Linked DNA regions of Stegostoma tigrinum. The protein of the gene in region 2 interacts with the protein of the main gene of each other region in a biochemical or structural test. Links are inferred from orthologs where the notes say so. Each region holds a gene or a part of one and is shown on either strand. Other genes may lie near its edges. The genes, in order: mis18a, mis18bp1 and oip5.

What was found.
Region 1: the proteins of mis18bp1 (region 2) and mis18a form a complex in vitro, tested with the Homo sapiens proteins (2 studies listed by BioGRID). The link is inferred for Stegostoma tigrinum from reciprocal best matches to the Homo sapiens genes MIS18BP1 and MIS18A.
Region 3: the proteins of mis18bp1 (region 2) and oip5 form a complex in vitro, tested with the Homo sapiens proteins (2 studies listed by BioGRID). The link is inferred for Stegostoma tigrinum from reciprocal best matches to the Homo sapiens genes MIS18BP1 and OIP5.

What each region holds. Positions count from the first base shown.
Region 1 is NC_081365.1:24,796,234-24,804,249, forward strand, and holds the start of mis18a (protein Mis18-alpha), read right to left. Parts: upstream 3,073-8,016; 5' UTR 3,031-3,072; coding exon 2,847-3,030; intron 1,591-2,846; coding exon 1,527-1,590; intron 1-1,526. UniProt on the Homo sapiens protein: Required for recruitment of CENPA to centromeres and normal chromosome segregation during mitosis.
Region 2 is NC_081363.1:32,857,638-32,865,444, forward strand, and holds the start of mis18bp1 (mis18-binding protein 1), read right to left. Parts: upstream 3,065-7,807; 5' UTR 3,029-3,064; intron 1-3,028. Other genes in the region: uncharacterized protein im:7136021, read left to right, coding at 7,236-7,807. UniProt on the Homo sapiens protein: Required for recruitment of CENPA to centromeres and normal chromosome segregation during mitosis.
Region 3 is NC_081363.1:84,907,847-84,914,999, forward strand, and holds the start of oip5 (protein Mis18-beta), read right to left. Parts: upstream 3,065-7,153; 5' UTR 2,993-3,064; intron 308-2,992; coding exon 172-307; intron 1-171. UniProt on the Homo sapiens protein: Required for recruitment of CENPA to centromeres and normal chromosome segregation during mitosis.

The DNA.
Region 1 (8,016 bases), on a different chromosome or scaffold from region 2:
TCCCTGTGGAACACTACTGGTCACAGTTCTCCATTTTGAGAAACTTCCTTCCACTACAACTGTCCGTCTCCTGTCGCCCAGCCAGTTCTCTATCCATCTAGCTAGTATACCCTGGATCCCATGCGGCTTTACTTTCTCCAGCCTATCATGGGGAACCTTACCAAACACCTTACTGAAGTCCACGTACATGACATCTACAGCCCTTCCCTCATCTATCAACGGAGCAGGCTCAAAGGGTTGAATGACCTAATTCTACTTCTCTATCTTATGGTTTTAGTGCTGGAAAGGTAACATTATTCATTGGCGCCCGGTTTTGTTTAGACTACCCATTCTTTTGGAAGATTTTGTAGATTGTTTGTCATTTTTACAGGACACGAGATTAACATGTTACTATGTTTACAGAATCCCAGACATTGTATTCATCCAATTCTGGCAACTGACATTTTATTCATCAAGTCCATCCACAATGAATAGGATATTGCATCCTTTACAGTATTTCCAATAGTTTGCTGAATTGTATTTCTATTCCATTGTCAAAGAAGTGACCATATGTCTGCTATCAATGGACATACACTAAAATTGCTAGCTATATCGCCGGCATCCTCTAAACAGAAGGAATGAACACATTTTTTAAAATCCAAAAGGAAATCAACCTCCAACCTAGCCAAATCCAAAGACTTTAATGCTGGGTCAATAATCCCTGTGCCAGTTGAAAAAAGTAAAAAAAGTCTGAGCTTCATAGAAATTTGAAGGATGAAAATACCTGGAGTTACTGCAAACATATGTTTAGTGCACAAACGCACTGGAATGAAATGGAAGAATTTTCCTTTATGGAAAAAGGTTAAATGAAGAAAATTAGAACACTGCTCAGTAAAATAGATTCTTTGTAACAGGGAACACATGCTATTTTGTTCAGTTAACCTATAAGACCTATTTTCTGAACATTCTGCTTTAATGATGCCACAAGGAAATGTCACATTGGTTGCAGTTGAAAAGTCACTTGCAACATCGATCTGACTCTATAAATGGAATATATTTGTCCAAATTTTGCAGTAAAAGGCAAACAAACAGTGCCACAATTCACTAAGCAAACAACTGTCCACAGATATTTTAGTGGATTTTCATGCAGTGACTCGAAGCAATTAAAAATCTATTTTGGTGTGGCACTCTGCATAGTGGATCTGAGACTAGCTGAAGGAGCATGTGTCCAGGAAACTGAAGAGTTTCAACCAAGGCACACAGAACTAGAAGGCCCAAATTTGAACTTTTTATTAAACAAATGTTAAATCATGTGGAGAAGAGAAAAGAAAGATGGAATTAAGAGACAAAGATAAAGCCAAAAGAAAACAATTTTTCCAAAAATAATTTCAAACAATTAAAAACTAAAGGACTATGAGCTTACAGAAGCATAGTTTAATTGCTATAAAAGATTTGATAGAATGAATGGACTTTGTTGCATCCACCACATTTAAAAAAGACTTTCCTTCACTTGTACTCAAAAATCTGCACTAAGTCAACATACTTACCAACCAGACTCATCTGCAGTGTCTACCTTCTGTTCTTTGTCTACTTTGATATTGTTAGTAACACCTAGAGAAGAGCAACAGGTTATCAGCTTACGAGTCTAAAATTCAGGTACAATGACCAGCTGCCTACAAAAGGCCATGTTCTTTGTGCATTCAACCACCTAAAATATTCAATATCAAAATAAAAGTGGATCTATCTTTAAAAGACAATACAATATCATGTATGACACTTTAGAACCTCACCTTAAAAACATATCTGAGGAAGTAACCTTCTTATCCCTGTTACTCTATGATCCTGACAAGAGTCAAGCAAAGTTATAACTTAAATATACAAAATAAATATCAAACTTCAATTAGATCTGGCACACAAGCCATTCTACTATGGCTTATCCAGCAGCCACAAAGGTTTGAAGTGATTTCAACAAAATTCACAGTGCTTACATGAATGGTGTTCCCGCACACAAAGTTGTATGCTTAATTGGCTTTTTTTTAAAATAACCATTAGTCAACTTGGAAATACAGTGCTCATTAAAGTATGTAATCACCACTTGTGAGTATGACTTTTCCCCATCCCTGCTTCACCATTAGACTTTCCAACATAAGGAAAACCCACACAGTCATATTAGCAGAGACTTAAGGCAAATTTTAGTATCTTTATCTATTCAATTACATTTATTTATATATTTTAATACAAAATTAACTATGAGGAGAGTAAAATATATTGAGACTAATGAATGAGAAAATTGCTGCAGATATTGGAATCTTTACTGGCTCCATCCCCGCCCCTTTAACTTGTCTGTCTCCTCTCCACCTATCATCTCCTCTAACCATCTTCGATCCGCCTCCCCCTCTATCCCTATTTGTTTCCGAACCCTCTCGTCCTCCCTTTTTTCTGACGAAGAGTCTGTGCTCCTGATATGCTGCTTGGCCTGCTGTGTTCATCCAGCTCCACACTTTGTTATCTTGGATTCTCCAGCATCTGCAGTTCCCATTATCTCTGTTTCAATTTCTTGTTCAGATTTGTTTTATTAAAGTCTAAATTTCAAACATCAAAAAGTGTCATTTAACCACCTTGTGCATCAATTTTAAAAACTTAAATGGTTCCCCCCCACCCCAAATTTCCAGCATTAATGCAGGAATTCTCTCAAGCACTCTCTGTGGACTGGGCATCCTAAACCAATTCTTCCGCCCCCAATCCCCACAACACACTGGGACACATACATCTCCCACCTCCCCCCCTTCAAGCCATCCCCACAAAACACCGGAACACACCCCCCTCCCATCCCCCCGGGCTAGGGGACAACTCCACCCCCCACTCACTGCTCAGATAGATCATGTCCTCTTTCGGGTTTGCTCCGACCCAGGCCAGCGAATCTCCCACCGGTAGCCGACACTGTGAGCAGAGGAAGACGGCCGGCAAATCCGAGTCACCGCTGATGAAAGTGCCCGAATCCTTGTTGTCCGTTTCATCGTCCGTTACCAAATCCACCGTCACTCCCGCCATCTTTCAAATCACTGAGCAGGCGCAGAGAGCGTCTGCAGCCGGCTACACGCCTGCGTACGAAGCCACCCTCACCGCAATGTGCGCGCGTGCGCAGCCCTGTCCGGCGTGTCTCGTCCCTGTTTGTGGAAAGTCGCAGCGCAGTTCTCGTGAGTCCACCCCCATCGCACCTGGCCAGGGATGGGCAATACTATGATAAAACACAATGTGAGCAGACCAAAATAGTTTTTAAGAAGGGTCACTGGACCTGAAATGCTAACTCTGTGTTCTCTCCACACATACTGACAGACTTCATAAAATCCCAACAGTGGGGAGAGAAGACTTTCAGCCCATCGAGTCCACAATGACTCTCCATAGAGCATCTGAGCCAGACCCAGACTAATTTACCATGGCTAATCCACCTAGCGTACACACCCTGGACACTGCAACCACTGCAATAAGATGGCCGATTCACCTAACGGGCATAGCTTTAGACTATAAGAGGAAACCAGAACCACAAACAGAAACTCACACAGATGCAGGGAGAATAGGGAATCTAATAAAAAAAACATGCAAACTCCACACAGGCAGTCATCCAAAGCTGGAATCAAACCCAAGCCCCTGGCATTGTGAGGCAGCAAAGATAATCACTGAGGCACCATGCTATCCCACCACGGTGACCTGTTGAGCTTCTCCAGCATTTTCTGTTTTCCTTTCAGATTTGCAGTATCCTCACTTTGTTGTTTTATATTGGCTGTATTAGTTGTTTTCCTGGGCATCATAAAACCAAACAGTTCTGCTATAATGCATGTTCTGGCAATGCGAATTGTTTATAATGCGACTGACAAATCAGGGAACACTATTTCTAAAACGTGAACTTGTGGTGGCTATAATGCAATTCCATTGGTGTACAGATGACCTTATTGGTGATGTTCAGGAAAATATTTTTAGAAAATATTGTAGGGGAAAAAAAATCAGATCTCAGGATTCTCCTCATTCTGGATAATGCGCCAAGCCATCCTCCCGCCATTGGTGAGGTTTCTGAAAACATCAACGTTCTATTTCTACCACCAAACACAACCTCTCTCCTTCAACCCAGGGACCAGGGTGCAATAGCAGCTTTTAAGCTTATTATTTCAGACGAACATTTCAGTGGCTGATTGCAGCCACTGCGGTGGATGAGGACAGTGTTCCTCAATGTTGGAAGAGCTTTAACATCGAGAATGCAGTTGACATTATCGCGGATGCCTGAGGTGATGTCAGCAAGGACTGTTTGCATGCAGTTTGGTGGAAGTTTCTTAGATTTTTTTCAAGATTTTAAAGGCTTTGATGCGTTAGAGGAGCTCTCTAGAATCAAAGAACGTTATGTTGAATTTGCAAAGCACGTTGGATTTGAAGAAGTGGAGAGTGAGATGTTGAAGAGCTGCTTGAGTCCCACAGTGAAGACTCTCTACAGCTGATCTACAACAACTTGTCGCTGAGGGGGAAATGGAAGCTGGGGATGAAGAAGGTGAAGTCCATGATGCAGCACCACGAAAGCTTTCCACTTCTGTTTTTTCTTCTATCCTGAGGGAAATTGAGAAGCAGTTGCACCTGTTAAAGGACAATGAATACATTGCTGAATGCAGCAGGGTAGCAGTTCAAGGAATAAGACCTTACTTGGCAGCATATGAAGAGTTTCTTCATGAAAGAAGAAAAAGGGCAAAGCAGCAAATACTGGATATCTTATTCCCCCCAAGAAACAGTCAGAAGACAATGAACCACATCCATCCACTTCTGGATTAATTATTTTTTGCCCAAACCCTGCAACCACAGCTGCACCTGAAGATCATGATGATTACCCTCAGCGTCTGCATTAACAACACAGCAACCTCAAAACCTACTCCCCCATCAAGTCATCTTGACATTTTTTAAAGGGAAGGTGTTAAGTTTACTTTTATTTTTTCATTTAAACTGTGCCATCCTTTGTGAAAGGCTTTTGAGTGATTTTCAAATGATTTTGAGTGATAATTTTGGTAGTTTGCCTCAACTCCACTTTTCTCATAGATCCTGTTATTTCTATAGCACGATTTTCTATAATGTGACCATGCAGGGGAACACAGACTACTATGTTATAGCAGAGCTGACAATTTGTAGGGTGTTTTGTGTCAGACTGAATGCTTGTCAGCTATCTATCTTGAGAATGCTCTCATCTAGGGCAAAGACGAGGGACACCCTGGCCTGCCCACACATCACAGTCCTCCATTCGGACTTCCCAGTTTAGTTAAGTCATATAACGAATGCACAGAGCTACAGTTGGCCTGGTTTCAGGATGTTCCAGAGAAGTGACTGTTAAGATCAGTCCACTCTGGGTTTTTATTGTCAGCGTTTATTAGCCGCCACCTTTCGAAAGTATCCACCAGGCAGAGGAGATAGTCACACATTGTTGTAAGTGCCACATCGTGTTCATGCCTGTGGGCCCGCATGCTGCAGGTCCAAGGCAGAAACCTCCTCTGTGTTCCTCAGAAGGTGAGCCTGGGGCCATGAAGGACCTAGTTTCTGTGTGTTACCAAGGCGATGCATGGCTGAGGTATTGCCAATGGAGAAGCTGAGTGCTGATGGATTTACATTGCTGTTATCCTAGACAAATACAGCTGCCTCAGCACTGACTATAAAAGAGGTTTCTCCCTGGTGTCCAGCAGGGTGAAGATGCAACCCTTGAAGATTTTCATTAATAACAGAAATATGTCCTCATATCATCATCAACTGTACTGCCTATCTATATCAAGGATGTGAAGGTGCCAGTGTTGGACTGGGGTGGACAAAGTCACCAGGTTATAGTCCTTCGGAAGGCAGCCCCTTAACTGCACCTGATGAAGGGGAGATGCTCCAAAAGCATGTGTGATTTCAAATAAATCTGTTGAACTATAACCTGGTGTCATGTGACTTCTGACTTTGCCCATATCAAAATCAACAATTCTGTGACAGCGCAGGCGAGATGTGGAGGTATTGTAAATGGACTATCTAATCCAGAGACACAGGTAATTTTCTGGTGAACCAAGTTTGAGTCCCACCACAACAAATGGTGAAATTTGATGTCGATGAAATCCAGAATTAAAAGATAATCATTAAACAATTGTCAAGAAAATCCCTATCTAGTTTATTCATGTCACAGAATCTCTGCAGTGCAGAAGGAGGTCATTCAGCCTATTGAATCTATAATGACCCTCCAAAGAACATCTCACCAAGACCAAGTCCCAACCCTATCCCCACATTTACCATGGCTAATCCACCTAACCTGGATGCCCCTAATTCTGAGGAAGGGTCGTTGGACTCAAAACATTAGCTTTGATTTCTGTCCCTAGGTGCTGCCAGACCTGCTGAGCTTTTCTAGCAATTTCTGTTTTTGTTCCTAAAGATGAGGTGTTACCCCAATCCAGGGGAGATGATTGTCTAATGGTATTATCATTGGGCTGTTAATCCCAAGACCCAGGCAGTTGGTGGAGTTTGAATTCAATAAAAAAAACTGGAATTAAGAGTCTAAAGGTGACCGTGAATCCATTATGGAATAATGCATTTGGTTCACTAACGTTCTTTAGGGAAGGAAACTGCCATCCTTACCCAGTCTAGACTACATGTGACTCCAGACCCATACCCACAGCATTGTGATTGACTCTTAAATACCCTCTTGGCAATTATGGATGGGCAATGTATCCAATTATGGATGGGAAATAAATAGCAACCTAGCCAGGGATGCCCTCATCCTGTGAATGAATTAAAAGAAAACCTGGTGAAAACACAACACAGGATGACTTGTACAAACAGCTAAAACTTTAAGTGATAAACAGAGCTAAGCAATTCCGTTTCCAACAAATCATACTGAAGTTCAGTAGTTCTGTAGTCCACATCTAGTCATGAGTGTTGGTAGACAATTAAACAGCTCAAACAAAGAGGAAAAGACTTTAGAAGTATCTCCATTCTGGATGATTGGAGTTCCCAACACAACATTGCAACAATTTTCATCCAGAAGTGCCAAGTGGATGCTCCATTTTGGTCTCCTGCACAGATCCCAACATCAGAGATGCCCGTCTTCAGCCAATGCAATTCACTCTAAATGATCGCAAGGCATTGCACTGGATACTTCAAAGGCAATAATAATTCAGCAATAATCCTGAAGACTTGTGCTGCATCCCTAGCCAAGGTACCCTAGTACAGCCGCTTCGGTGACATCTGCCTAAGAATGTGGAAAATTGCCTATACTGTAAAGTTGGCCTAATCCAATCTAGCCAATTACTATTCCTTCAATTTACACTTGATAATCAGTTAAAGGAAAGGATCATCAACAATACAATCAAGTAATACTTCCTTAGCAATAACCAGCTAACTGACACTCAGTTTGTACCATTAGAAACACTCAATTCCTGACCTCTTGACAGAGTCAAACGTCTAACCATTACTCCCTGAGATTAAACGGCATTACTGGATTCCCTCACTATCAACATCCTGCATATTACCTTTGACCAAAAACCAAACTGAACTAGCCATATAGATCCTGTCCTATAAGAGCTGCTCAGAGACTTGACTTCCAAAAAGCTGTTACCATATAAAAGGCAGATGTCTGGAATATGATGGAATACTCCACACCTGCCTGAATTGCAGCTCCGACCACACTGAAGAAGCTTGACACCATCCAGGACAAAGCAGCCCGCTTGATTGGTACCACGTCCACAAACATTCAGTCACTCCATCAACCACGCTCATAGCAGCAGTGTGTACCATGTACAAGGTGCACTCAGAAATTCACCAAGGTCCTTCAGACAGCACATAACAACTCCATGTGTTATGTTGGAGTCATAACATCAACTGTTATGACTCCGTCTAGAAAGACATGGGCAGCAGCTATATGGGAAACCTCCTCTCCAACCCACTTATCATCCTGACTTAGAAACTCTTTGCCATTCCTTCAGTGTTACTGGGTCAGAATCCTAGAACTCCTTCCCCAAAGGTCAACCAAAACACATGAATTACTGT
Region 2 (7,807 bases):
AATGAGGAGACATTTCTTCAGTCAGAGATTGGTGGGCTTGTGGAATTCATTGCCACGGAGTGCAACGGAGGCCGGGATGTAAGATGCCTTCAAGGCAGAGATCGATAAATTCTTGATCTCACAAGGAATCAAGGGCTACGGGGAGAGTGCAGGGAAGTGGCCCATCAGCCACGATTTAAATGGCAGAGTAGACTCGATGGGTCGAATGGCCTTACTTCCACTCCTATGCCTTATGGTCTTATTAAACCAATTGTGAAAGTTTTTGTGGCTGCTCAAAACACTTTTGGCAACTGATTCTGGATGATCCAAGATGGAGGTTAGGAAACATTGTGGCTGTACCAGCTGCTCCTTTTTTGAGGTATTTTCAGTGTTGGAGCTAATTTCCTTGAATTCGAAGAGCAGTAATTACTGTTTTATAAGCTGTTGCATTGTTTTGGAGCTTTGGAGAAAAAAAATCAAAACACCAGCACTTCAAAAAGGAAAGAAGGGAGACAATGGTAGTGACCACATGAGAAGTGATTCAAACAGAGAAAGAAACCTACACTGCGGTCTGAACCAGCAGTAACCTGCACAGCTAAATTTGCTGTTTGGTTTCAAGTATCGCTGGACATCGGAATTTGTCCTAAGACAAATAAACGAGCAGCAAAATTCACAGCTGACCTTGGATAACCTGTGAGGGGATGCAGTTAAGATGGCTTTAAAGCGTAACCTCATTGAGTTTTTTAAAAATCTATAATAATGAGAAGAGTGGGTACTTTTTTGATTTATATATATTTCATTGAGATCTGTCTCAATTAAACTTTATAAATATAAAAACGTAAGTACTAAGCTAGCCTGGAGCAGTGTTTTCAGAGCAGTAAGACTGTGCTTTTTTTGGGTCTAAAGATTGTTAAATTGCAAAGATGGCCTTCAGTGGACTGATGTGCTCTTTCCTATTGGATGTGGTAAATTAGGGAGAGTTACTGATGATTAGGTCTGAAGGAAGTATGTTTAGTTGTCAATCCTATCACATCGCACAAAGTGGCAGTTAGATGCACTGAGGGATTTACAGGAGCTAGGGAGTGTGATGGATGGCAGTTGTAGGGAGGGAGATAAACCAAAGATAGTCAGGTGGATGAGATATCTCCAGAAAAGGGAGGAGAGGGAAGTAGCTCGAACAGAAAATTCCTGTAGCTATACCCATCTCAAACAAATATGCTGTTTCGGAAACATAAGGGATGATGGGCTTACAGGGGAATATAAGCACTGACAGCTGGATTTGGGTACTGAGACTGGTTCTGACGTAATGAGGGTTACATCAGGTTCCCAGCAATCGATTAAGATAGGGGACTCTAGTCAGAGGCACAGACAGATGTTACTGCAGTTGACAGTTAGTCATCGGAAGGGTATGTTGCTCCCCTAGACCCAGGATCAAGGATATCTCAGAGTGGTTTCAAATTGTACCAAAAGGGGAGAGGGACCAGCAGGAGGTCACATCGGAACCAACACCACAAGAAGAGAAAAGGACAAGACTTTGAGGAGAGAATATAGGAGGTTTGGTGGAAAATTTAAAAAGGTCTGAGGATAGTGATATCTGGACTAGTCCTGGTGTCATGAGCTAGGGAGGGTAGGAATAGGAGCATAGAACAGATGATAGATGATTTGGATTCACATTTTTGGATCATTAGAGCCTCTTCTGGGGTAGAAGAGACCTGAACAAGAAGGATGGATTGCACCTGAATTGGAAGGGGCCAAATATACTGGTGGGCAAGCAGGAACAAAATAGAGAAAGATGAAGGACTGATAAATTAACTGTTTATTTCAATGCAGGAGACCCAACAGGTAAGGCAGATGAACTCAGGGCATGTTTGGGAACACGGACTGGGATATTATAACAAGTACAGTGATGTGGCTTAGAGATGGACTGGACTGCTAGCTTAAATTTTCCAGGGTATAGGTGTTATAGGAAGGATAGAAAGGGGGCAAGAGGATGGGGAGTTGTGGTGTTTCTAATTAGGGACAACATTATGGCTGTACTTAGGGAGGTTATTTGGGTGGAACTGGGAAAGAAGAAAGGGATGATCACCTAATTGGAATTGTACTATAGACATCCCTATAGTCAGGGAGAAATTGAGAAACAAATTTGTAAGGAGATCTCAGTTATCTGTAAGAATAATAGGGTGGTCATGGTAGGGGATTTTAACTTTGCAAACACAGACTGAGACTGCCATAGTGTTAAGGGCTTCAAAGGATAGGAATTTGTTAAGTGTGTACAAGAAAATTTTCTTACTCAGTACATGGATGTACCTACTAGAGAAGGTGCACAACGTAACCTACTCTTGGGAAATAAAGCAAGACAAGAGACTGAAGTGTCAGTGGGAGAGTACTTTGTGGTCAGTGACCATAGTTTTCAGTTTTAAAATAATGATGGAAAAGAATGGATTGAATCTAAAAGTTAACATTCTAAATTGGGGGAAGACCAATTTTGATAGTATCAGGCAAGAGCTTTCAAAAGTTCACAGGTAAAGGGATGACTGGAAGGTGTAGGGATAGCTGGATAACTAGAGAAATTTAGGTTTTGGTTAAAAATAAGAAGGAAGCATATGTCAGGTATAGACACCAGAGATCGAGTGAATCACTAAAAGATTATAAGGGCAATAGGAGTATACTTATGAGGGGAATCAGGAGGGAAAAACAGGAACATGAAATAGCTTTGGTAAATAGGGTTAAGAAAAATCCAAAGGATTCTACAAATATATTCTCCCTGGCCATATCACCGAAACGAAGTCGGGTCACGGTCAGGCAAGTAACTCTGAGTCGCCTACATCTCGAGGAAAAGGGAATTAATTAAACTTTTCTGGCTTCAGGTCCAATTTTATTGGCGTACGGTAGCCAGCAGACCCAATACTAGCTGAGATCTGGGTCTAAACAAATGGCTTCCCCCATCCACCAGCCGTTTCCAAGTCCCCACGAACCCGACTGTCCAGCCGATCTTCCAACCGGTGGCCTCGTCAAGCCCTGGTTCTAGAAACAAAATCCGTTTACTCACCCGCACGCCCGTGCCTCTCGCAACAACCATTTCAAACCGAAAATCGTTAGGAATTTTCGAATCCAAAGCATCGGTACCTGATTGGACATTGGCTCTTCGGCCTGCCGAATCAGCATGTGTAACGTCAAGAATGGAACATTGCGCGTGTCCGGATGGCGCGCCGTTCCAGCGGTAAGACACTTGCGCACGCGCAGAGTCGCTCATGTGACTAGAGGAATTGTTAGAGTGTGTTGAGAGAAAAATCTTCATGTGCTATCGTAATATAGCACTTGTCTTTTTAACGGTTTGGCGGGGTATCGATTTATGAATTTGAGTTTAGAGTACAGAAATAGGGAAATTTCCGGGTAAGCCTAGTGTTCCATATAACAAGGTGTGGAGCTGGATGAAAACAGCAGGCCAAGCGGCATCAGAGGAGCTCAAAAGCTGACGTTTCGGGACTAGACCTTTCTTAAGAAAACAAGTTTTTCAGATTCTCCAGCATCAGCAGTTCCTATTATCTGTAGGCCTAGTGACCCGTTCTGATAAGAATTTTTTTGGGGCGGTGAGTAAGATTTGTGGAGGAGGTGTATCAGAATGAAATCAGAGGAAAGGACTTTATTCCCTGTGGACAGACTGCCGAAGTTGTGATTATTCACGTTACGCAGTGGGATACTTAGTAGATGTGTTCAAATATCTTAAGGAAGGAGAAAAGGTATGTTTTAAAGTAGCAGGTTATATAACTTGGAATACACTTTGTAAGTGTGGTGATAGATTCAGTAGTAATTCAAAAACCAAAATATATGCTTGGAAATTGTGTGGGTTGAGGTTGGAGAAGAGGTGCTGTGTGGGGGGAAAAGATTGGAAAGAGAAATTGAGGAGTTATGATATAGAGTAGAGGATTGGGGCTATGGTATTTGGTTGAGGAGCGGAGGCTTGGGGACTGCTTTGTGGACTACTTACGCTCAGTTTGTAACAAATGACTGCACCTCCCAGTCGTGAACCATTTCAATTCCCCCTCCTACTTCTTGGATGACATGTCCATCCTGGGCCTCCTACAGTGCCACAGTGATGTCACCCAAAAGTTGCAGGAACAGCATCTCATTTTTCACTCTGGACCCCTGCAGCCCAATGGTATCAATGTGGACTTCAGAATCTCCCCTCCCCTGACCACATCCCAAAACCAGCACAGCTTGTCCCTGCCTCCCTAACCTGTCCTTCCTTCACCTATCCTCCCCTCCCACCTCAAGCCACAGCCCCATCTCTTACCCACCAGCCTCATTCTGTCTCCTTGGACTGACCTATCCCCTCTCTCTAAATCCCCACCTACACTCACCTTTACTGGCTCCAACCCTGTCAGTCTCTTCTCCACCTATCTACTCCTTTATCCATCTTCTATCCACCTTCCCCTCTCTCCCTATTTAGTTCAGAATCCCCTCCCCCATTTCTGAAGAAGGGTCTGGACCCAAAAAAGCTGCTTTCCTGCTCCTCTGATCTGCTTGGCCTGCTTTTTTTATCCACCTCTGCACCTTGTGACATCAATATTTTGTTGAGCTGGCTCAGATCTAGTTGTTCAAATGGAGGTTTAATTCAAAGTTTCTCTAAAATTATGTTAAATATTCCTTTTAAAATAGATACCATTATTTTAGTTTCATGAATGCTTAAAGTTTATAACTTGCAAAATTATTGAAAATGATTCTTCATTACCTCTAGATTTGACTATTGCAGCATGCTTCTGGCTCGTCTCCAACATTATACCATCCATCTGAGGATATCAAAATTCTGTTGTCTGTGTCTCATCTTGAAGCAAGTCCCGTTCCTTTATTGTTGGGAGAAAGTATTGGGTGTGGCACAAGTTAACCCCACACCTATTTGGGGAGAATTAATAAAACCTTAAGATGAGGTAAGCAACTACATTCAAAAGAAGTACATCTGGGTATTGTCCAGTTCTGGTCACCTCATTACAGAAAAGATGTGGAAGCATTGGGAAAGGTGCAGAGGAGATTTACTATGTTGTTGCCAGGAATGGAGGGAAGATCTTCCAAGGAAAGGTTCAGAGCGCTAGGGCTTTTCTCTTTAGATCGACGAAGGATGAGAGTTGACTTCTTAGAGGTGTACAAAATGATCAGAGGTATAGATAGAGTAGACAGCCAGCACTTTTTCCTAGGGTGGAGGTAGCTTTTAAGAGGAGACATAGTTTTAAAGTGAGTGGAGGTAGATATAGGGGAGACGTCAGAGGTAGGTTCTTTATTCTGAGAGTGGTAGGGGCGTGGAATGCATTGCCGGAGAGTGTAGTGGAATTGGCCTCATTAGGGGCATTTAAGGCATTTCAACAGCTATTAGATAAGCATATGGTTGAGAGTATCAGGTAGGGATGGAGGTTAGATATATCTTAGGATTAGAGTAGAAGTTCGGCACAACATTGTGAGCTGAAGGGCCTGTACTGTGCTGTGCTGTTCTATGTTCTATGTAGTGAATTTAGTTAGCCTGATGAGGTGAGATTCATTTTATAACTCATTTGGCTTTTTTTCATTTAAAAATAACTGTCAGGTTAAAAATGATTAAAACACAAAGCAAGAGCAAAATGCTGCTGACATAGGATATTGCCAGACATGGTTATGGGCCAAGGGAGTAGTACAGAAGATGATGGGAGTAGATTAAGACCAGAAACTACCATTTTTGATATATGGGAAACAAGTTATTTGAACTACACTGTTTTGGAATTTAAGTAATGTACTATTTCTGTGACTTAAAATGTTTTAAAAAGAAAAAGATTTTTAGCTGATTGGCAACATACTACCTCCGAATATTCTCCAGGATAAGTTTTCTCAATGTTGACTTAATAAACAATTGTTAAACCTGTCCCTGAAACTCCTAAGATTATTTGATAACATAATCTACTCCAGTACTTATTTCTGACTTTGCTGATCTACACCATCATCTTGTTAAATAACATGATAATATTTAAATGCTTATCCTTATTATCAAAGGCCTGTCTTCTGCCTAGCTGTGTAATTTCCACCAGCTGTCTGGGCCAATATGATATCTACATACCTCTTACTTTGGTCTTTTGTGTATCCTCAGTTGCTCTGGCATTCCTGTCAACATCTCTTTACCTTTTTTGTCCTTCAAGATACTCCTTAAGTTTGGTCAGTGAGTAAATTTTAATTGTCTTGACCTATTATCTAATTAGGTGGTGCAGGTCATACTTTATGATGCTGCTATGAAACACCTTAGTGTCTCATTACATTTAATGGCAATATATTAATGAGAATGAGTTGTGGAAATCATAGGCATCAGATTTTTTTTCATAGCCTATAAAAGATATATTAAAAGTTGAATATAGTCTTATTGTGGAATAAATAAGTTTGTGGATATTGTGTATTTGGAAGTAAAACTGTATGTATATTCATTATGGTGGAAATGATTCATGAGTTGGTGTTATGTATACTTGTGTCAGTACTTAAAATTATTTGTTATATGGCACCTTTCACTATCTCAGTGTCCCAAAGAACTTCACTTTTGATTTAGAATCAGGAACAATTGCAAATGTAGTAAACAGTTCACAGCAAGGTCAAAAAGAGCAGTGAAATCAATAATCAAGTTATTATAGTGGTATTGGTTGAGAGATAAATATTTGTCAGAGAGAACGTGTGTCTTGTCATAGGTCCGTGAGATCTCTTTCATGAACTTATTCAATTGGACTATTTAAGATCTCACCTAAAAGCCAACTGATCTTACAGTGTAGCCATTTGTCTATTTACCAAGTGTAACCAAATAGTGTTTAATTTTTATGGATTTCAATTATGGATTAGGTTGTGAAGTTAGATGGTAGCAAAACAAAGGAAATCAGAGTTAAAGGTAGCCCAAGATAATACGAAGTGATGTGAATTGGTCTGAAATTTTGAGATTTTGCTGTGCAGTTACAGCAAGCAGAAGTGTTTTTACTGGGAAGGAGATGAAAATGTTTAAGTATACGTCCATTGCTACTTGTGTACTTCTGTCATCCTTAGACAACAAAGAAAATTTGTATATTAGTAAAATAAAAATGTTAGAATTCACTGAATTAATTTTTTTCTGGATCTAAATCTTCATTGGCTCTTCAAATGTATTGTAAATATAAGTTTTTTTTTTGATATTTTCTTGTTTTCTTGTAGATGCTAGTATGGAAAATATTGGTACAGAAGCAATTAATTCGATACATTAAGGAAGGATAGGATTTGCGACTAATATGGAAAAACCTCATTGTTTAAACCTACCTCAGGATATATTGTTGGAAGTATTTAGATATCTAACACCGGTAGGAAAAGATAACGTTCGTGCAACGTGCAAGTACTTCCAACAGTTAATTGATCATCCTACTTTATGGACGGATAGTATAATTGTCCTAAAAAGTTTACAATGCTGTAATTCAAACTTTTGGAGAACGTTAAGAAAAAGGCGAATAAGATCTGTGGTGATTAAGGAAGCAACACAGAAGCAACAACAGAGGATGGTGAATTTGCTACCTGACCTGATAGCTGTTACTATTGATGTAAAAAAGAATTTGGAGAGTCTAAGCACTTTTAAATCACTTACAAATTTACAGAAGTTACAGCTGAGTAATAAATTACAAGTGCTCGATCAAAAACTGCTAAGAGAAATGGCTTTGTTCAAACAACTGACTCATTTGGTCATATGCACTTCAGTGTTTATCCAGGACAGTTCGTTGTGCCATCTTGCAGAATTAACAAAATTACAAGCACTGACACTTCACGCCGGACAGAAAAGCCCTTCCTTGACATCACTTCATTATGTTTTGTT
Region 3 (7,153 bases), about 52 Mb from region 2:
CTGTATTTTTCTACAAGATTTACAGAAGTAGGCCATTCAGCCCTTTATATCTGCTCTGCCATTCAACGAGATCATGCCTGATCTGATAATCCTTAACTCCACGTTCTTGCCTTGATGCTCCTCCTGATTAAAAATCTATCACCATTTATACATAGCTAACCTAACACTTACTCAAACATAACAGCATGTTCAATGGTAAGCTGCTACCGCAGGATTGCAGAGAATCTCCCAACACAGTGTGACATCTCTTGCACTGGAAGATCACACAGTCCTTCACCTTCAAGGACCCAATCACAACACTGTCCATCTAAACAGGGCACACAGGAAGAAAGAGAGAGAAAACAACTGATCAAATCAATCAACCATCGCAATTGGGATGTGCAAACCGAACTATATTGATGAAATATTCGGACTGTAAACACAATTAAAGTATATTTCAACATGTTATGAAGAAAACCTCAGGAATCCATAGAATCCCTACAGTGTGGAAACAGGCCTTTCGGCCCAACAAGTCCACACTGAACCTCTGTGCATCCCACCCAGACCCATCCCCCTATAACCCACCAACGCTACACATCCCTGAACACTATGGGCAATTTAGGATGGCCAATCCACCTAACCTGCACACATTTGGGCTGTGTGAAACCGGAGCACACGGAGGAAACCATGCAGACACGGGGAGAATGTGCAAACTCCACACAGACAGACACCAAAGGCTAGAACAGAACCTGGGTCCCTGGTGCTGTCAGGCAGCAGTGTGAACCACTGTGCCACCCCTGGAACTGGAGTAGCCATTAAACACAATGGCTACAAGAGCAGGTAAGAGGCTAAAAATCCTGTGGTGAGTATCCCGCCTCTTGACTCCCCAGAGCCTGTCCACGATCTACCAGGTACAAGTCAGGAGTGTGATGACATACCTCCCACTTACCTGGACAGGTAAGGCTCCAACAACATGCAAGAAATGTGACACCATCTAGGAAAAAGCAGCCCTATTTGAATAACACCACATCCACAAACATTCACTCCCTGCAATGCTCTTTAGTAGGGATGTCAACTATCAACACGATGCATTGCAGAGATTCACCAAAGCTCCTTGGATGGAACCTTTCACGATCACTATCATTTAGAAGGACATGGGCAATGGATACTATAAACACCACCACCTGCAACTTCCCTTCCAAGCCACTGTCCACACTGACTTGGAAATATATTGCCATTTCTTCAGTGTCACTGTGTCAAAATGCTGGAAATTCCCTCCTTAATGGCATTGTAGGTCAGCATATGGACTGTAGTGGCTCAAGGCGGCAACTCACCACTTCTCAGATAGGCAATAAGTGCAAGATCCACATACCACGAATGAAATGTTTAAAATCCTGACTATCAAATCCTACCAATGGAATAAAGTGACAATTTGCTGTAAACTCAGTTTCCTTTCTGTCTTAACGGGTAAAAGGAGAATCATTTTCAAGTTGTTGTGGGAACAAGTTAGAGGAAGCTTAAAGAGCTATCATAGAGCATGCAGATGAAAACTAAAAGTATTTTTTTAAGAAAACCCATCCTCAACAGTTTTTTCCAAGTATTTTACGCCTCAACTGCTTTTTAGGGTACTTCCAGAAAGACCACTATTGTATTGCCTATTCACTAGTATATTGCTTACCCAACCACTGTGTTCATCGCCACACTTTTTTTTCTTTCTTTCCTTCCTTCTTTTCACTGAGGGATGGTGTTGAATGTTGGAAGGATTTATAAGCTGAATAAGAACCTGTCCAGTGTTACGAACACTCCTTCCAACAAATCTAGAGTGGGACTTGAATGCAGTTCAGTGGCAGAAATGCCAGCAATTGAGCCACAGTACCTCCACTGCCCAGCAAGCATTTGGAAAACAAATCTTCTGTCTATCTATCTCAATTGCCACTGGGCTGTTCAGTCACTAACAATGCCTAGACTCCAGGTCCTACACACAATAGGTACAGAAAGAGCTGGAAAAACTCAGCAGGTCTGGCAGCATCTAGGACAGAGAGAGAGAAACAGTGTTAACATTATAAGTCCAGTGTGACTCTCGTGCAGAATGTTGCTGCAGCACTCTTTTTATTTTCAAAACCCAACAATTTGCTTTTATACAAGACCTACACAGATGGACATGCTGTCAATTAGCAGACACTGAAATGTTGCACCAGAGAATGTGATTAGCTCTTGGCTTGTGTCTAGCATTGGCACATGAAGATAGGTTATAAACATTCTTACACTTTGACACTTTAGCATTCGATATAGAGGCCCTTGGTATTGAAACCACAACCATTGAACATGCAGTTTAAAGAAACGACTAGCTAGCACATTAGTGGCCAAGTGGAGAAAAAGTGCTATTTATAACATTGGGAAACTGCTCCATGGAGCAAAATCTTACACTGAGACAAGATCAAACGTAGTAAAAGAAAAGGCTTGTTTAAAGTGACAGATGAAGTGTAAAAGGGATATGATATGCAGAGGCAATAAGCTGGCAATCCAGAGGCACATAGTTTACTGAGAAAATTGCAACAGGAGTTTATTAAAGGAGAGGGTACGGCTCTGGTTCCTCATAAGCCTCTTTGACCATGTTTTGGTCATCTGTCCTGCTACCTTTTCATTGAGACCCAGTTTTGGTAACTTCATGAGACATCTGGTCACATCGAAGGTGCCAGAAATAAGCTTTTTTCGGCTGTGGGCTGAAGCTGAGAGCTGACACGAACCAAATCTTCCCCTCTAGTCTAGGCACTGCAGCGCCTCTCTGTAACAACAAACCCGCTCAGTAACCCACTCCCATCTCAAAACCCAAAGGCACCATGCCCTCTTCCAGCCAGTTCCTCCGCCAGGGGAACAACAGTGAGACATGTTGTTATTGCTGCCGCTGCCCTTGGGGGGTTATTTTATTTTTCTCTCGGGGGAGGGAAGGAGGAGGAAGAAGCGAACAACACCCCAGCCACCATATGCCCCAGACCCAACCAAACCCCCTCACCTCCTCCTCAAACACGACCGTTAGCAAACGCGCGCCGCACTGCGTTCAAACCAGCGTACATGCGCAGTACGCCGTCTTCGCGGAAACGGGGTGGGGCGTGGAGAAAGGAGGGGGACGGAACAGAGTAGAGGAGGTTTTGTGGGGGGGGGGAGATGAATTAGTTGTATTCCAAATGGTTGTCCATCGCTGGATGTCAAACTGGTTGGTCTGCAGTCGCTGGGATTATCCTCTCTTGAATGAGGCTGTCGTGAAGTTTGCAATTGTTTGTCAGACTCTGACACCTCTCAAGTGTGGAGCATACTGAAAGATTTGTGCCTAGGTCCCCTGCAATGTCAATTCTCACTTCCTTCAAAATCCTTGGGGGCATCTCAACCAGTCCTGGGCGCCTTGTTCATTTTTAAGTACCAACACTTCTGCAGTTTCAATTTTGATCGGCCCTAGTGACTGAGTTCCCTGTCACTATGACCTTAGGGAGCATTTCTATCATTAGTAAAGACAGGTGCATGGTGTTCATTTAATACATTCTTGATACCTAATTGGCGCTACTCCACCTTTTATCAGCCTTTTACTATTTACATGGCCGCGGAAGACTGTGACATTTCCTTATGCTGGCTGTCAGTCTTTTCTTAGAAATCCTCTTTGCTTCTCTCATTTGCTTTTTGACCTTCCCTCCAAACCTTTGATATTCCTCTTGGTTCTCAATTTAACTGAGACTTGGCATAGGCACATCTTTTTTAATCTTAATTCCTTTCTCCTTTTTAATCCAGGAGCTCTGGATTTGTTTGTTCCACCTTCTCTATTTGAGAGGATGTATCTTGACTGTACCTGAACCATCTCCTCTTTGAGGGTATCCTATTGTTCAGTTACTACTTTTTCTACCAATCTCTGGTTCCAGTCAATCCTGCTCAACTCTGTTCTTGCCTCATTGAGGTGTCCTCTCTGCCATTGACTGATCTCACTGTTGCAGATCATTTTCCACCATCTAATAATACAATGGTCACTGTTTCCTAAACGTCCCCTCACTGACACTTGATCCACTTGACTTATCCTCATTTTCAAGAGCCAGGTCCAACAGTGCTTCCTTTCTTGTCAGACTGGACATCTACTCCCTTTGGAAGCTCTCTTGAACACAGTCCAGGTACACTTGAGTGTCCCAGTCTATATTTAGGTCATTGAAGTCTGCATTAAAACTATTCTAGAATGTTACCATTTGTCTATAATTTCCCTGCAGATTTGTTCCTCCACATCTTTCCCACTGGTGGCCTAGAAACTGCACCTAGCAACATAATTGTAACCTTTTTGTGTACCCTGGTTTTCTCCCTTACAATTCTCCCTTCATTCCCAAACCCACACTTTTATTGTCCATCCCTAGTTGTCCTTGAAGTGACTTGCTGGGCCTTTCAGAGTGTCAGGCACATTGCTGTGGATCTGGAATCACACTGATATGACAAAACCCTGGCAAGGTTCCCCAATTTGTTACACCCAGTTCCCTGGTGATGCTGCTAATTTGTTAGCATGGTTTCAGACAGAATACCCCAAATCATGAAGTTGTCGGATGAGCAGAGACAAAATTGGCTCCACGTCTTCACTCAACTTATTCAAGTTGATTACAGAAATATTAATTTAAAAACAGATCCTTTACCTTATGGAGATGGTAGGAACTGCTGATGCTGGAGTCTGAGATAACACAGTGTGGAGCTGGAGGAACACAGCCGACAAGGCAGTATCAGAGGAACAAGAAAGCTGATGTTTCGGGTTGGGACCCTTCTTCAGAAATCCTTCTCCCAGACCTGATTAAACTCGTGATTTCAAAGAGTCCAATTTAATCAGGCTTTCTTGACTTAACATAGAGTGAGTTTATTAAGTACCAAACGAAAGAAGAATTTGCAAACACTTTAAAATTAAGAGGTGAGAATATTATTTCTTTTTAAAAAGAGACATATGGGTCAGTCTCTAAACTGTTTCTGATGAATAGGTAGATGAACATTGCCAGCACTGCATTCGAGGCTACTGGTATCACTGACATTGCTGTTTGAGCAGTGGATTTCACAATTCTTTGTTCTGCAACAAACACAAAAGTGCTGGAGAAACTCAGCAGGTCTGGCAGCATTTGTGAAGAGAGAAACAGAGTTAAAGTTTAAAGTTTGGTATAGCTGTTTGTCTGAACTGAAAGGTGTTGAAAAATAGGTTTTATTGTACACTTTTGACAGAGGTGAAAGACACCAAGGGGGCTGATAATGTAGTGCAAAAGACAAAAAAAAGTTGTTAATAACAGAGAAAGAAAAGATAGGTTAAAAGGGTGTAAATTAAGATGTGAAAAGGAGAGCTTTGGCCCTTGTTACTAATTGCAAAGTAATCAAGAATTGGCGGTGGTGGAAGATAACGTAAGAAAAACAGAGTACGGACATAAAACAGTCAGTTTCTGAAGTTATTACATTCAATATCAAGACCTAGGGGCTGTAGATTGCCTATGTAGAAAATAAGATGTTTTTCCTTGAGTTTGCATTCTGCTTCTTTGGAAAATTGCAGCAGACCAAGGACAGAAATGTTAGCATGAAAGAAAGGTGGTTTGTTGAAATGGAATGCGCTGGAAGGTCATTCCTGTGGACAAAATTAGAGTATTCTGCAAAACGGTCATCTAGTCTGCATTTGGTCTAGCCATTGTATAGGAAACTGCACTGTGAGCAATGATTGGAATAGACTGGATTGAAAGAAGTGCAAGTGAAATGCTGCTTCGCCTGGAAGGAATTGGAGCTCAGGACAGTGAAGAGAGTGTTTTACACGTCGATTGACACTCTGATGAAGGGTCTAGGCCCGAAAAGTCAGCTTTTGTGCTCCTGAGATGCTGCTTGGCCTGCTGTGTTCATCCAGCCTCACATTTTGTTGACTCTGTAGTTCTGATTCCTTTTGACCTTGACTGGATTCCAGTATTGAGGGTGAGCGAGATTCATTTTGTTATCCTGTTTCCTTGTTCAATGCTTTGTAACACTTGGAGTGAGAGAAGGTAACACAGTGGTAAATAGGGGCTAGTTCTTTGTGTATGCCTATCACAGCACACTAAAGCTTGAACTGAGGCTGGTACATACAAGAGTTTTGTTCCACTAATACATTCCAGTGGAGTTGAAACTGGTTTTATAAATTATAAATTATTTATAAATTGTGCTCCTAAGATGCTGCTTGGCCTGCTGTGTTCATCCAGCCCCACACTTTGTTTTCTTGAATTCTCCAGCATCCGCAGTTCCCATTATCTCTTATAAATCATCTCCATGTTTGTTCTTCAAAGAGAAAAGCACAAAATGAGTGTGCAGTTTGGTCATCAATCCCTTATTATCTTTCTAGTCTCAAGAGATCAGTTGGCTCTAATCCCTCCCCCCCCCCTTTGAAGGGATGTTGTTTGAAGTTCCCTTTACATCAGTAGGTGTGAATTTCCATGGGCTTCTCCCTCTCTCTGTCCAGACAGGCACTTAATTTACATCTGCAGGAATATTTGACTATCAACACTCTTTTTAAAAGCACAATTAAGTTAAATTAAAAATGATCAGAGTACTTAGGGGTTCTGACCTAGGGTTGACCACTTTGTAGCAGAACAGGGCTAGAAGGCAGATTTCCATCCCTAAGTTACTTCATGGTTTTTTAGAGCAATTGAAAGCTCGTCTTTGTAATGGTGAATATGAAAGTAGCTTTCAGTTCCAGGCTTTCTAATTAATTAAATATTAATTCCATCAGATAGTGTGTTGGAATTTGAATCCTTGTTCCCAATGTTACTTTAGTAACATTGCCATTATGTCCCTACTTGACCAATGCTGAATGCCTGGGAGTTATCTGTAACAATAGGTAGATCTGAAAGAGAGAGGGTAGAATTTCGGTTGTAATCCACATGGAATAAGCCAGAGGAAGACAGTTACTAATGAAGGAACTGTAACTGTGAACTCCTGTTTTGCTAGACCTGATGAATAACAGGATGGGAAATAGAGAGCAGTTCAGGTAAAAGCGACAAACAAATCCGGTCAGACTTGAAAACCTGGTCAGAAATTGGAGCAGAACTTCTTAAAGGTCTGGATTTCTGCAAAAGAAATAGCCATGAATCAAATACTAACACAAATGCATGTAATTCTGTGGATTTTGTAAATCTGAAATAAACATTAAATGCTGGAATTGGTC